Linked DNA regions of Drosophila melanogaster. The protein of the gene in region 1 interacts with the protein of each later gene in a pairwise test. Each region holds a gene or a part of one and is shown on either strand. Other genes may lie near its edges.

Region 1 (8,458 bases):
TATATAATATTATATTTGACTGCTAATCGATGGGAAAATTTTTTATCGAATTTAACAACATATGGCATTTGATATTAGGACAACTATTTTTATTGTTGTGTTTTTATTGTCACAAAATTTAGTGGTATTTTTCATAAATAATTTTTTCACAACATTTTATTGCCAAAAATCCTAAATATTTTATTTTGCTCATAGCCCTATTAGAACTAATAACTTGCAATTTAAGAATGGTATGTATTTAAACTTGATACAATTAGCAATTTATTTAAGCAATAATTTAAGCCGGAAGCTCACTTTCAGCTTGTTGATTTTTTATGCACAGTTAAGCTTTAGTTGCATCTATGCACTTTAAATAACCTCAAATGACAATGCACATTGAAGGGCCAAAAAGCGAAAGTTTGTAATGCATTTATAATATTGTAGCTAAAAAGGAAATACCTTACCAAGTATTGGATGCATTTAAAATGGCAGTGCGGTGTTCCCTAGAGATTGCGTAAGTTTACGCTAAAGTTGAAGCCCAAATTCAAACCCTGCGTTGCAAAAGAGCTTAAAGTTTGTCAATTTAGCTTATCTTGTCGTTGTGTCGAAAGCTTGAAGGATGTTCTGAGCCAGGATACCAAGCAATTGGAATCCGCTGAAAGCTCCTACCCGTCAATTGACCCACATATTTCATTTCAGTTATATATTTGAGTCTGGTCGTTAGTTTTGCGTAAGGGCCAGAGAAAAAACTCGCCGAGAAAGACTCGCAGGCGTGCCAAATTGATGCTATCAGTAATGAATAATAATGCCCAATAAGCGAGTCGGCTGATAATGACGAGATGGCCCATTACATAAACGAAAGCACATTGCACCGCAGCTCCCAGCCAGTCCAGCTTATTAGCGTTAATTGTTGGCGACACTTTTATTTCCACTTCCATTTTCAATTTCATTTTCACATCTATTTCCATTTTGCTTTATTCCGCCGCCCGCCTTTGAATCGAAATAATGATTCGAACTTGGCAAGTGTCTGTCCCCCTTAACGCTTAACGAGATTGCAGTTCGGCTGACTCTCCTCCGCTGGCCTTTGGTCATCGGCCATTGGCCATTGGCCATCGGACACCGGCCACCGGCTGATAAATGAGTCTGGGCCAGACATTATGCAATATTGGGGCCCTAAGGCGATTGGGACCGGTACCCGAAATAGCCACCGAAATACGCTGCCATTCAAATGCAGTGATGCCCCAATAGTTTGAAATATCTCTTTCATAAATATCTCTTTTATAAACATTAATGATTTGTTAATATAATATCATAGCTTATGCCAAAAATCATAGAAATATTTTGTTGTTCAGATGCAATGCAAACAAAGAGGTTTTCAAATTTGTTAATTTATCTTCTTGCAACGTATTTCACTTCTTGAAAACAGATACAATTTTCCGTGTAGTTCGTTATTGTTGTTAAAAGAAAGGACTTTGCAGTGCCAGAGATTGTTATAAAAGGGTTAAAAAAGCCCAATTTGCTGAAATAGAACCATCAAATGGGAATCGCAACAATCGAATACAAAATGAAATGAAATGAAACAGGACGTGTTGCCCAAAGGACTGGTTTATTTGCTTGTTGATGCATTCGAAGAATGCCATTTTGGGGAAAAGGATGAACCAGGGAAGAGAATAAACTAGTGACATCCACAACGGATGCGGCAATCGGATCGATAAATCAGGCTTGTTTATGGCAACAGCAGCGGCCATAACCGTAACTCCCGCCGCCGGCAATGGTGCGGTGCCCAGTTCGAAAAACGAGTGGAGTGGAGTCGAGTCGAGTGGAGGGTTTCGGTTTGTCCATGGGGCCATGACCTGCCTCAAGTGCTTTGCGTAACAACAACAACACCACGCAGCAGCAGCAGCAGCAACAACAAATGCGGCAGGGAGTGTGGAATTTTGTTGTTTTTGGCTTTCCCAGCCAGTCACGATCGCCGCAATTTTCTTGTCACTGTCACCCGAAATACGACAAAAAAACAAAAACCGCTCGTCGCACGCAACAAAGCAAAGCAGCAACAGCAGCAACATCGGCTTAAAAGACAAATAAACAAAGCGGCTGCCACAGTAAAAACTGCAACTGCACGAACAGCAGCAGTAACAGTAACAGAAACAGTAACAACAATAGTAAAGAGGAATACAAAAAAAAAAAAAAAATGGTTGCAGCAGCAACAACAGAAATTGGCGATTCGCCGCTGCTGATAAGAACTAAATCGTCTGAGATCAATGCGAATATGGAATACCCTAATCAGGGAGTTAGGATATGTTTAAACAACTATGGATTTTTAAATAAAAATAATAATATTTTTTAAAAAACAAACCATGCTGCCAAAAAAATTCAAGTCGCAAAGTGAAATAAATGCAAATCATAAGAAAAGTTTTAAATTAAACCAAATCACAAATAAAATAGGATCATAAACTTAATAATACTAAGAATATATATTATTGGGTTATATACATAATTATTATAAAGAATTTATATATTATATATTTTATATTATAATTATATATTATTTAAATATCTTGTTTGTTAAATATATATAATACTTTATTTAATTTCAACTGAATATACATTTGATTATGATACTCAATATTTGTTAGAGTAGAATTATAAGGATTTTACTATTTGAAGTTCTTAAGCATATCGGAATGTACAAAGCTATTCACTGGACTGTGCTACCCTTTTTCGAGTAGTGTACAAATGGTTTGCCCGCAAAAACAGCAAACAGCCGCAACGAGCGACAATTTAACGAGGCTGCCGCGCTGCCGTTGGATATTGCTGCTGCTGCGGCTGCTGTTGCTGTTGCTGCTGCGTGGTGCTGCTGTTGCTGCGGTGTCCCCCCAGCAGCAACATTTTGGCCTCTGCCGCGCTCGCCGTCGCAGTCGCTGCCGTCGACGTCGACGTCCACTTATTCGGGCGGCGGTTTCCATTTCATTTTTAAGCTAACGCTCGTCGCGTTCAGCGTTTTAATATTTAATTGTCGTCGATCGCGAGCGGTTGTCATTGCTCCACTGGAATAATAGTTGAATTGCCATTGCCATTGGATTGCGATTGCCACGGCTGTACCGTTACCGTTAATCGTGAAGTGATCCGGGAATTCGCCAAGAGAATACCACACACAATACCATACCTGAAACGCGTTGCAGCACCCTTTTTTGTTCAGTGTTCATCAGTTTTTTGTTCAGTGTGCAGTTTGACATCCACAGTGGCCATGATTCCCTGGATTTGCCTAAGCGCGGCCATTGTGCTCATCCTGTGCCCCCTTCACACATCCTCGCGCAGCTACAGCAACGGTCTGATCTTCTACGAACTGAAGACCCACCGACCCTACCTACCGCCCACGGTCAGTGTGTCCAGGGGCCGAAATCTGGCCAGCGTCAAGTACTCCGAAAAGGGGTCCATCTGGTCCACCTTTGGCCAGCCCTGCGAGTGCAGCGGACCCACCTGCGGATGTTGCGCCGGTCTCAAGGTCGATCAGTACCGATTCGATCAGAAAGGTGAGAAAGCCCATGCTTCGTTAGCTATTAATGGGGAATAGAATATTGCAATACTTTAAATGTTTAGTAGATTATTGATTAGGAGATTAGTAATATGAAACAGTGTGACATTCGAGACATTATGAAAATTACAACCTTAGTTATAATTTCAAATTCAGAATGTTAAAAATATTTCTCATTTCTTTAGAAAGAAATGGTTTTGTATTGATGTATATTATTATGGTTTGAAACCAACAAGAACATTGATTACGAATAACATGTATTATATCTACGCGAGAAAGGATATGCATTTAGTAGATTTTTTGCACAGTGCACTTGTTATTTATTTGGTGAAGAAAACCATTAATGGGTTTTCATTTTCAGCATGCTATTTAGCCTTAATATCTTAATATACACTAATGGGCACTAGGTTAGTAATCGCCGTAGGATCAATCCGTCGGCCATATGCTTATGCATAAATTGGGATCTTTGCCGTCACTTAGCCTGGTCGGAATCGTGGCTCCTGGCCTGCGGGTGGTGGCCACACATATTTGGCTGCGATTTCGGCTGGATTCCAGGCCGATTTCCTTGGCCAAGAAACCGATCTTGGCCGCGGGTTGGCGGCGCATGCCGGAGACTACAATGCGATCGGTGGTTTGGCTTGGTTTCCATTTCGCTCCGCTTCGCTTCGTGACATGCCAGCATTTGCCAATCAAAATGCCACAAATTGTTGGCGCTTCCAGCGGTGGCCACCCCCTCATCGCCTCATCCACCATCCACCATTCAGCACCCAGCACCCACCATTTGCCTGGGATTCGTCGACAGTTTGCCACCCGCCACTTTCATTCATTGAATCGAATCGTTTCATTGTTGTGCCTATCTGTAATTTTGACTCAACGTTTTCTTTCCATTTTGCCTCTGTTTGCAGTGTGCGCCAACGTGAGCTTCGTGCCGCATCTGGAGGAGGCCCAACTGGAGGTCTTTCTTAATGGCAGGCCCTCCTCGAAATACGGAATCTCGGTGCGCAATCCGGCGCCCTTCTGCATTCCCGTCATGATGGGTGTACCGATGGCCATGTGCGTCCAAATGACCGACGTCACAGTGGTTGGGAACAACCTAAACATGTGCATGGACTTTGTGGTTCGGATGGCCACCACCGATCTCTTCGAGATGCATTTCCAGTGCATGCGAATGGGTCTGGATGGTCTGCAGTATGTGGACAAGAATGGCAAGCCCGTACTGCCGATGGGAGATGGTCAGAGCGACGATCCGGAGGAGTACGAGTACGCCGAGCTGGAGGATCAACCGGAAGAGTATCCTTATCAAGAGGATGTCAAGGAGGAGGCTCCATCCCAGGGCTATCAACCAGATAACAATCAGCAGCAGAAGAATACAACACTGACCACTGATCAGGTTAAAGAGGATGAGATGGAGAAGAATCAATCAATGGGCTATCAACCTCTCATCATAAATAATCAAGCACAGAAGATTGAGCCTCAATTAAATCTAGAAGAATTAATCTACCAACCTCAAAAGAATCAAACTCTAAGCGAGCCAGCTAAACAGGATCAGGTAGATAAGGAGGAGGATACACAAAATGAAGAATCAGGTTATCAAACACTAGGTCAAATTAAGGTTGAAGACCAAAAAGAAGAAAAGCCTGCAGAAAAGCAGCCAGAGATTCAACAGCCTTCAGAAAATACACTGGATGAAGATGAACCGATGGGCTATCAACCCCCGATGGCGATGGTTCCCCAAAAAGTTCCAGAAGAACAGCCTCTAGCTGAGGATCTTCAAGAAGAGGAGGAGAAGACTTTAGAGAGCGAGGGAGATCACCAGGAGGACGAAGAACTTGAAGATGTGGAGCCCCTGCCAATCGAAAGTGAAATGCTAATGGCCAGCGATCAGGCAGAAGAAGCACCTTTCGAAGAAGAGGCCGAAGAAATGCCAGCTGAAGACGCAAAAGAGACGGCAGCAGAGGCGGCGGAGAAAGAGAAAGAGACGGGGACGGAGTCTGAGCAAGAGACACCTGACAATGACAATGGTTATGGCGAGAGTGGCCTGAGGCCAAGTCAGGTAATTGAAACAATTACCAATTCAATAAAAGCCACTGAAGCGCCCACAACAACAACAACAACAGCCACAATAACGAAAATACCAACAACAACGACAAAAATACCGACAACAGCTACGACATTTAACAAGCCAAACATTGTTATTGATGGCACAAACAATGGGGAAAAGACAGTAGAAGCAGAGGGTGAGAAGACAGTAGAAGAGCCAGAGAAAGAGGGCGAGACATCTGAAGAAGGGGAGGCAGAAGACGACGAAGAAGACTCGACAACAGTGGCTGTTGAAATGGAAAATGATAGTGATAATGAGATAAACGTGGACGATGATGATGAGGTGGAGAAAAAAAACCGGGTGAAGGAACCCCCAAGCCAGGTGAAGAAGGAGGAGAAGAAACAGGAAGAGGGAGCGGAAGAAAAGTCCGAAGAGGGCGTGCAGAAAGAGGAGATAGAGCCGGAGAAAGAGGTGAAGGCAAGTCATGAAGAAAAGGTCAATCCAAATGACACAGCCGCTGAAGAAGATGAAGATAACGAAGAAGAAGAAGATGGGGAGGATGAAGAAGGAGAGGAAGATGAAGACGACGAGGAGGAAGAAGATGAGGAGGACGATGAAAAGGAAGAAGGCGAGGTAGACGCTGCTGAAGAATCCGCTGAAGCAGCAAAGCCCGAAGAAAGCGCTGTGAAAATTGATGAAAATGGCAATGGCTATGAAAATGCCTATGCAAATGCGAATGAAAATGCAAGTGGAAATGCATATGGAAATGCAAATGCGACGCCGGCAGCGAAGTCGTTGTCCCGACGTCGCCGTCTGCGCACCCGCCGCCTGCCGCGCCCCCTGAGGAAACACCATTAGGCCCCACTCCTTAGCTTAATTTATTGTAATTCGTAATTGTTAATGAATTGTTAATGCTAAACGTTGAAGCCTGTTAATTAATACGTATTTATTGTATTTATTGAAACCAACTCAAAGCCAAACTCAAGCGAAATAAACGTTAATTGTAATTTAATCACTGAGATTCCAAGTTAACAACAGGTATTTTTCGAGGCTTGCCTGGTTGAAATTTAAGCCACAACTCCTGGTATTTTAATATCTGTATTCGGTGGTTAAGCTGCCCTGAAGCCAAATGCAAAATCGAAAGCTGCTAATAATAGTTTTTTCACTGATCTCTACATTATTCCCATCATTTTGGCTTTGCTCCACCAGTTAAACTTACACTTTTGTTCACTGGTTTCACTTAGTATCTTGCCAAATTCCAGTTGCGTTTGCATGAAATTAGCCGTACAAAATTCAACATGTCATGGACGAGTGGCCTGTACAAGTCCTTGCTCCTTCGGAGCCAGCAATCGCTGGTGCGTCCGGATCTCGCCCTCCTGGACATCCAGATATCGAAGCGGGCCATTGAAACGATGTTCGGTCATCGAAGGGAATTGAGTTTCAATCATTCACATACCGCCGACATCATTGCCAAGAAGTGCGAAGAGCTTTTCAATGCCAACGAATTTGAGAACGCCCTAACCACGCTTTATACGGACGGACGTCCCTTTGGCGGACAGTTTGCCCACGGGCGGTTCGAGATGATCAAGCAAAGGGTGAGGGTCATTGTTAATATCTCACTGTATTTTGTTAATAGATTGCTTAAAAGAAAATAGCTTTTGAAATATCACCTTCCATTAGAGCCTCGCCGTCTTCGAAGACACCTTGGGCGAATCCCTGCGTCCCTTTATGCATCAGCACAGGGACGTCCTGGAGCAAATCAACCGACGCCAGAAGGAGCTGGCCGCCCATGTGTCCCGCCCACTTTGGAAGAAGCTGCGCGACCAACAGCAGTGCGACGTCCAGAGTATCATTATCAAGGAGCGGCCGCAGTTGACCTTACTGGAAAAGGCCCGCCGGCGGGCGAGTGAGAGTCTGTACAACCACAACTACTTGGGCCGCAGCGCCGTCGATATCGCGCTGCTGCGTCAACTGCGCAGCGACCGCAACTTCCTCGATCCCCTGAGGCTTGCCACCACGCCCCCAATGCGCAAGCTGACCAGAAGGCAGTTCACGATTGTGCGACGGCTTATGGTGAGTCCAATTCAGGGGAAAACACCACTTGGCAATTGAACTTTTTCAGGGAAAACCATCTCTGAGTCGAGAACAAAGTTTAAAGAGGGAATACTCTAAATATAATATAAATTGATTAACAGTTGCAGTTAAACAATTTGCAAACATGTCATCTATAAACATGTTTAGTAAGATTAAATGAACTTTTAAGAGAATCCTAGACTATATACTTACTTGCTTTCTAATTTTACTAAACATATTACTTTCGTGTAAATCAAGAGCTTTACTAGCATTTCCCACCACTTCTCATGAATTCACTTAGAAAATGCTTCAAGCCCGAAATCCGTTGTACAACCGGCGGTACGTGCAACAACGGCACGGTCCGATTGCGGACCAGGAGCGGCGTCGGTGGCAGGAGATGCACCTGTTCCATGCGCAGTACCAGACGCGACGCGACTGCATGCGGATGCTGCACGAGGTGCACAAGCGGCGCCGGGAGGGCGATGTGGAGAAGCTGTCCGATTACGTGGAGAACATAATGTCGGGATTCATAGAGTATAAAACCCATCGCACGCTGCCCTGGAAGTTTGAGTTCATCAACGAAGTCTACAATATCCTGGCACTGGCCTATTGCGACAAGTGCGCGGTGCCAGCCAATGTCGACTTCCTGCAGGCCCAGAATCGACCCATCTTATACCTACTGCGGACGGAGAAGCTGCACGACATGAGCGTACAGTTCGGGGGTCCCAACATCTATGTGGAGATCGAGAAGGAGGATGAGCGGCACAGCCGAATTAGGTGAGTGTAAGGGAAGCTGTATCCAAGCTTTTCGAATGTGCTCTTCAAAAACA
Region 2 (7,379 bases), about 17 Mb from region 1:
GGCTTCTGACATAGACAAATAAACTTTGACACTCTGGAGGTGCTGGGCCTCATATCTAAGTCTCTTATGGGCGTAACATCAGCTTGAATAGAAGTGTCCAACGAGTGAAGCTGCTCCGCATCAGGTGTAGAAATTGGCACACTTGCTCGGGCTGCCTCAGTAACTTCACCGGCGGCTCTTGCACCTATCCTTCTCGTGAGTTTGGCTGCCTGCACGACTGGATTCCGGCGTGATTTCAAAGTGGCTGTGGTGGGAAGCTCCTTGGTAACACTATTCCTTACTCTCAAAGTAACACTTGGTTTTCCCACTTGCACCCTTGTAGTAGGAAAGAATTCATTGTCCGTATTGGAACTGTCGTTATCCGAGGGCTCATCTCTGTGATTTTTTTGCAGGCCCAAATGCTTCAGGTGCTTTTCCTTTTGTTTGGCCAGTTTTCGTTGCTGTTTTTTGTTCAATTTCCTTTCTTCTGGTGACCGATTCGCGTTAATTCGAGATGCCTTGATGTCGTTTAGAAATTGTTCGACATCCGGACACGGAGGTAACTTACTTTTGGCTAGCATTGCTGCGCCATAGTTCTCAATGTCCCGCTGGGACTTTGAAAATAGTCTTTTCTTTATGGCACTTGTGCCTGCAGGATGTCCTGGACCACCTTCGAAGTTGCTCCCGTCGGACTTGTCGCTCTTTTGCCTTGAGGTCGAGGAATTGGACCCATTACCGCCTGTTGTTGGCGTTTCAAAATCCCCATCTACTGCTGCAGCACTCTCCCACTGGGTCATACGCTCAATGTGCTTCGTTTCGAACTCACAGCGCAGTTCGTCATTTTCTAATATCTTTGGCGTTGGTTTTATTCTTCTTTTTGAACGCTTGGGCAGCTGAAGTTCGCATCCACCAGAGGAATTCGTTTTCTTGTTGCCATTAGCAAACGGTAGCCCGCAGGATGTTTCAGATTCTAACTTCACACAGGGCGTTTTTGCCTTCCGCCCTCGCTTTTTGGGTGGGGTCTTCTCATCTAAGACAGCTAGTGGCAAGATCTCAGAAGTGACCTCCGCAAAGGAAAGTTCTGCAGAAGGCTGCGGGTGAAGTGCCTCTGTCTTTACCTCCTCCCAAGGGCTTCCATCGGCGTGTAATCGATTGCCTAAACGAACGCTACGTCGCATTCTCTTAACATCTCCCAAGGGAGCGTCACCCAATTCCTCCTGCTCTGTTTTTACCACGACAAGGTCGCTTAGTTGCTGCTGATCTATCGGTTCATCCGGGAGTTTCCTTTTGCGTCCTGGTTTCTTCTCCCCTAATGAATCCTCGCAGGGTAAAATAACCTCACTGGTTTCCACCTCGGCATCGGGTCTTATTTTCCTGGCTCGACCCCTTCCTCGCTTCGGAGCAGGAGCCGAGTTTTCCTCAGGAGATAATGCAGTTAATGACGGTTTGTCCGGTTCACTTTTCAACTGCAGTCTGACAATAGCAGTATTATCGTCCAGTGTGAACCTCTCCAGATGGCTACTACAATCCGTATACTGCTCCGACTTTCCAAATTTTTTATTCTCCACCTGAACATGTTCATCAGTAACTGAAGTGGGCGTGTCTATGGGTCTGGGTGTTCTTCGAGACCGTCGCGTTCCACCGGGCGAAACTTGTACCTGCAAAGTACAGAGACTCATTGAATGTGCCGACTAAAGAAGTACTCAGGATAATATTATATATTATATAATATAGAGACATACTAACTAGAAGTACCAGTCCTCAAAGAAAGCTTCAAATGCCTTCATCGGTTGCCTAGACAACTGTTTCTACCAAACATAAGAGGTCTGTTGACCAAGAGGATGAATGAATGGATGGCTTAACCCTCTTAAAATTGGATGCAATTACTTCAAGTCTTTCTTGTATTCAAATCCCTCTGGAATTATGACAAACTAACAATTGTAATCTAACCTTTTTATGACCTAACCATATTAAACAAACAGCTGAACAAAAACAATGACATACATTAGAATATTTATGTATATAAATATGCGTACATCAATCATATGTACGTATGTATTTGATTAAAACTACACGTGAAACACTAGAAAGAAAAGAACTCAGCAGTCAAGGGCTAACTTCTAAATGAATTAACAAATAGTAACTTCTCCAACATAATACGTCTTTAATTTGTATGACATACAAAAAGTAGAGAAATGAAATAAATCCCTAACCTTTTTTATGATTGGTATGAACCAAAACAATGCCATACATTAGGATATTTATGTATATAAATATGTGTACATCAATCATAACTACGTATGTATTTGATTTAAACTACACGTGAAACACTAGAAAGAAAAGAACTCAGCAGTCAAGGGCTAACATCTAAATAAATTAAAATATAAAAGAAAAAGCAAGAATTTCGAAGCTGATACACACAAACACACACACATTTACTTACATTTTTATCAGCTAATGTCGCTGCTCCTGCCGACGTCGCTGCTCGCATTTGGTTGGTTGCGTCAGCAGCGAGTTTAACGCTAGCAGAACTAACAACAAGTGGAGATGCTACTGCTACCTCAATTCTTGTTGTTGTCAGTGGTTCTGCATTTGCTTCCAATTTTTGTGTTGCTGCTAGTATGGGTTCTTCTTCTTTCTCAGCAGCTTTTTTATTTTGCTGCTCAGTTTTAAAGCTTTCGTTTTCCCATCTCTCTGTCGACGTCGTTGCAATTTCCGTTGCGTGTTTCTCTGCACGCTCGTTGCTTTCCATCTTTACTGTTATGGATGTTGCTTTGCCATTCTGCTTTTTTTCCATTTCGGAGTCTTGTTTTGCGACATCTTGATCGTACTCCATTTCCTTCCTACCTTCTTCCTCTATTTCGCATTTTGTATGTGGTTCGACTTTTTCTGCATTCTGCGCTTCTTCTTCTTCCAGCTTGACAGCGGCCGCATCGACAACATCTGCCAAAAGTGCTTTGATGTCTTCGATTTCCTCTTGATTCCTTGCCTCCTTGCGCTCCTCCTCCTCCTTGTCCTTGTGCTTCTTTTCTTTACTAGCGAACTGGTTATTGGCCAAATTACGCCACTTGAGGGTTTTGTCTTCCGCCAAGTTCAGATTTAGCAAAGTACCACCCTCCGCTGTTGAAGTAGCACAGTCGCTATTGAATGTACTGGACATGCTGTTCATCAGCTCAACAAAGTCCGTCATCTTGCCTTAATTGTCACTATTTGATTACTTTGCGTATTAGTTTCTTTGATTTTCGATTTCAGGAGTCAATTTTCCATCTTTAAGCCAATAAAAACATAATTTCGCTTTCAGAACCCTATTTTTCCCGACAAGATTTGTGCATCGGTCGTACAAGCAGCAGCCTTTGTTGTTGCTTTGCTGTTCTGAATTTGCAACTATTTTGACACCGATATTTTTGAGTATAAATGGGCAAACATAAGGCAAAATAAAACATTTAATCTTTAAAATTTAGACATTAAAATCTGGTTTTTCTGCTTTATATTATGCTCTTTCTTTTTCTTCGTTCTGCCGGCAGCGAAGTCGACTGCGTTTCTTGGTGGTCACAGCTAAATTTTTTGTATCCTCTCTTTTTTTTAATTTCTAGAGAACAAAACGTAAAAATACAAAATTTCTCACTATATTTCTTACTATATATTTACTATAGTTTTCCACTTTTTCGTTCATTAATTGCCCTTAAGAAGCTCAAAATGTTTGCAGAAATCGCTGCTTTGCTGATTAGCTCACATGCTGTCAAATATTACACTCTCTCACATCGCTTCAACGCCAAGATTGTTGTTCTTGTTGTTTCTCTGCCGACGTCGCTGCTACTGCGTTTTTGTTGGTGTTGCAGTCACTGTTTTGAGATTTTGGAATTGGTAAGCTGCAAATTTTTCAACGAATTTACAAATGCTTGTAGTTTTCGTGGCTTTCTCTTTACATAGGCAACCAGTTCAATAACATTACTTTAGAAAAATATAAGAAAAGCACACGAACACACATACAGAACTGCGTTTTTGACGCACGCACACGCACGCACTTCGCGCTGAAAACTGTTATCCGTAAAGAACAGCAACAACACAACAACTAGAGCTGGCATGGCACAAAAATCGATGTTTATCGGACATGGCAACGCTGCTTGGAATGTGTAATCGCTAAAAGAAAATAGGGTGACACGGTTCCCAATTTAGCTATCGCTAATTTGATAGGGCAGCACTGGCAAAGGCGTGAAAACAATTGTTATTAACGCATCTCAATTTATTTTTTTCTTAATATATAATCGTTTTAGGCATTGTGTTTATTAAAGTTTAGCAAGATAGACCAAGCCACATATACTTACAGACGGCATAGTGCGAGGGGAATCCCACGTAGAATGTAAGAAAAATGCGCATGCGCGGACGAAGATTGCTTCCGATTATTTTGTCGCTTCTTTTGATCGTCCTACTGAGTCTCTGTTACTTTTCGAATCACTTGAGGGATTCAAGCCAGTCCCGCAAAAACGGTTTCTTGCTGCACTTACCACTCGAAACGAAGAGGAATCCATCTAACCCTAATACTCCGTTAAGTAATCTTCTGAATCTCACGGACTTCCACTACTTGCTGGCCAGTAATGTGTGTCGAAAGGCAAAAAGAGAACTCTTAGGTAAGTTCTTTGCTTTAATCAACCATTGTAAGGAATCCTTAATCATTTTTGTAATTCCCGATTAGCCGTTTTAATAGTTACTTCGTATGCCGGACACGATGCCTTGCGATCAGCTCACCGACAGGCAATTCCCCAAAGCAAACTGGAAGAAATGGGCCTGCGAAGAGTTTTTCTCTTGGCAGCCCTGCCTTCAAGAGAGCATTTTATAAGCCAGGATCAACTGGCCAGCGAACAGAATCGTTTCGGGGACCTTCTCCAGGGGAATTTCATCGAGGACTATCGCAATCTGAGCTACAAACACGTAATGGGATTAAAGTGGGTCTCTGAGGAGTGCAAAAAGCAGGCCAAGTTTATCATTAAACTGGATGATGACATCATTTACGATGTGTTTCATCTGCGCAGGTATTTAGAGACCCTCGAGGTGCGCGAACCTGGACTGGCCACATCAAGTACTTTGTTATCTGGCTACGTACTGGATGCCAAGCCCCCCATTCGCCTTCGAGCCAATAAGTGGTACGTTAGCAAAAAGGAGTATCCTCAGGCTTTATATCCCGCCTATTTGTCGGGCTGGCTTTACGTGACCAACGTGCCAACAGCCGAGAGGATTGTGGCGGAGGCGGAGAGGATGTCATTTTTTTGGATCGATGACACCTGGTTGACTGGAGTAGTAAGGACTCGTTTGGGTATTCCCCTTGAGCGTCACAACGACTGGTTTTCTGCCAATGCAGAGTTCATCGACTGCTGTGTGCGAGATCTCAAGAAGCACAACTATGAGTGCGAGTACTCCGTGGGACCCAATGGCGGTGACGACCGACTACTGGTGGAATTTCTGCATAACGTTGAGAAGTGCTACTTTGATGAATGCGTCAAACGGCCGGTTGGTAAGTCGCTCAAAGAGACCTGTTTAGCGGCGGCCAAATCTCGACCCCCTAAACATGGTTTTCCTGAAATAAAAGCGTTGCGACTCAGGTGACATCGGTTCAAGGACAAATGGCTTTTCATCCTTTAGCAACTATCATGTAAGGACTTTTTAAAAGGGGGTGATGAAGGAAGAGACAAATATTGGAAAAGGGATATGATACTCATCCTTGCATATATATATATATGCATTACAATAAATGTTTGCCAGAAATCGACTTTACATGAATTACTATACACCAGTTTTTTAATTATATATAATTTCGGTTGCCATAGTAACAGTCGGAAAATTAAATGAAAAATAATAGGACATGAAAACATACTTTCATTGTTTTTTTTTTAATCATCAATTTTAAAAATAAAACTGTTCTAATGTGTTTTTTGTTTTACACTGCATTTTTACGAAATAAATAATAATAATAAGATTAAAAACAGAACAAGACAAAAAGATTTATGTTTTGATTTTTTTAAGGAGAATATTAGTCGAAAAGAAATGAATTCCACAAAATATAATCGACAAAACGCGGAATGTCTTCTATCCTGGACCCTAATAAAATAGCAAATCAATTTACATAACAGCTGAAAATTTATAGTAGTTTTGATAAAAGATTCAGAAATGAAATTATATATTCCGGTAGACACTTAGTTCTAAAGGCTAAGACATTTTCTTTAAATTTCGGAATAATTTTTTTCTGCGTAGCAAATCTTGTTGAAAAATGCCAAAAAAATTTAATTTCCACTTTTTAATGTAGGTCGATGGGATATTTTTTTTTACAATTTCAACGAGGTATGGCATTCCACAAAAAAAAATAATACGAATATTGCCAAAAACCGGATATTAACATAAGGGGTTCCATCCATAACTTGGTCAAAAAAGATATCACCGCTAAAATGAAATGAAAATACAGATTCTTTTTTAGCAAAAATAAACAAAATAAAAATCGCCAAAAACCGCTTAAATGAAGACTGTTTTGTACTGCCAATAAACATAGCTAACTATCAGTGTCACTATTTTTATTATAATCAAAAACAAAAATTTTAACACATTTTCGCATTTTTTGATAAGGGGTACCATCATTAAAATTTGCGAAAAATGGCAAAAAATCTGAATTTCTATTTCTAAATGCAGGTCGATGGGGAATTTTGTTACGAATTCAATGAGGTATGGCATTTCGCTCTTGGACAGTTATTTTTAATGCTATTGAGAAAATACAGATTCCGAATAAATAAAATAAAAATGGCAAAAATCGGATATTTACAAACGGGGTTTTGTGCATAACCTGGCCAAAAAAGTTATAACCGCTTAAATGAAGACTGTTTTGTACTGCCAATAAACATAGCTAACTATCAGTGTCACTATTTTTATTATAATCAAAAACAAAAATTTTAACACATTTTCGCATTTTTGATAAGGGGTACCATCATTAAAATTTGCGAAAAATGGCAAAAAATTTGAATTCCTATCTCTGAATACAGGTCGATGGGGAATTTTGTTACGAATTCAACGAGGTATGGCATTTCGCTCTTGGACAGTTATTTTTAATGCTATTGAGAAAATACAGATTCTTTTTTACCGAAATAAACAAAATAAAAATGGCAAAAATCGGATATTTACAAACGGGGTTTTGTGCATAACCTGGCCAAAAAAGTTATAACCGCTTAAATGAAGACTGTTTTGTACTGCCAATAAACATAGCTAACTATCAGTGTCACTATTTTTATTATAATCAAAAACAAAAATTTTAACACATTTTCGCATTTTTTGATAAGGGGTACCATCATTAAAATTCGCGAAAAATGGCAAAAAATTTGAATTCCTATTTCTGAATACAGGTCGATGGGGAATTTTGTTAC

Evidence for each region. Proteins that work in one complex are often made in the same cells at the same time.
Region 2: the proteins of CG8568 (region 1) and G9a interact in a two-hybrid assay, tested with the Drosophila melanogaster proteins (one large-scale study listed by BioGRID).

The regions. Positions count from the first base shown.
Region 1 is NC_004354.4:17,447,097-17,455,554, reverse strand, and holds CG8568 (uncharacterized protein), read left to right. Parts: upstream 1-3,011; 5' UTR 3,012-3,226; coding exon 3,227-3,512; intron 3,513-4,419; coding exon 4,420-6,413; 3' UTR 6,414-6,565; downstream 6,566-8,458. Other genes in the region: p-cup (presidents-cup), read left to right, coding at 6,854-7,150, 7,236-7,628, 7,930-8,405.
Region 2 is NC_004354.4:242,640-250,018, reverse strand, and holds the start of G9a (G9a), read right to left. Parts: upstream 4,042-7,379; 5' UTR 3,170-4,041; coding exon 2,423-3,169; intron 1,638-2,422; coding exon 1-1,637. Other genes in the region: CG3038 (uncharacterized protein), read left to right, coding at 4,349-4,607, 4,673-5,580.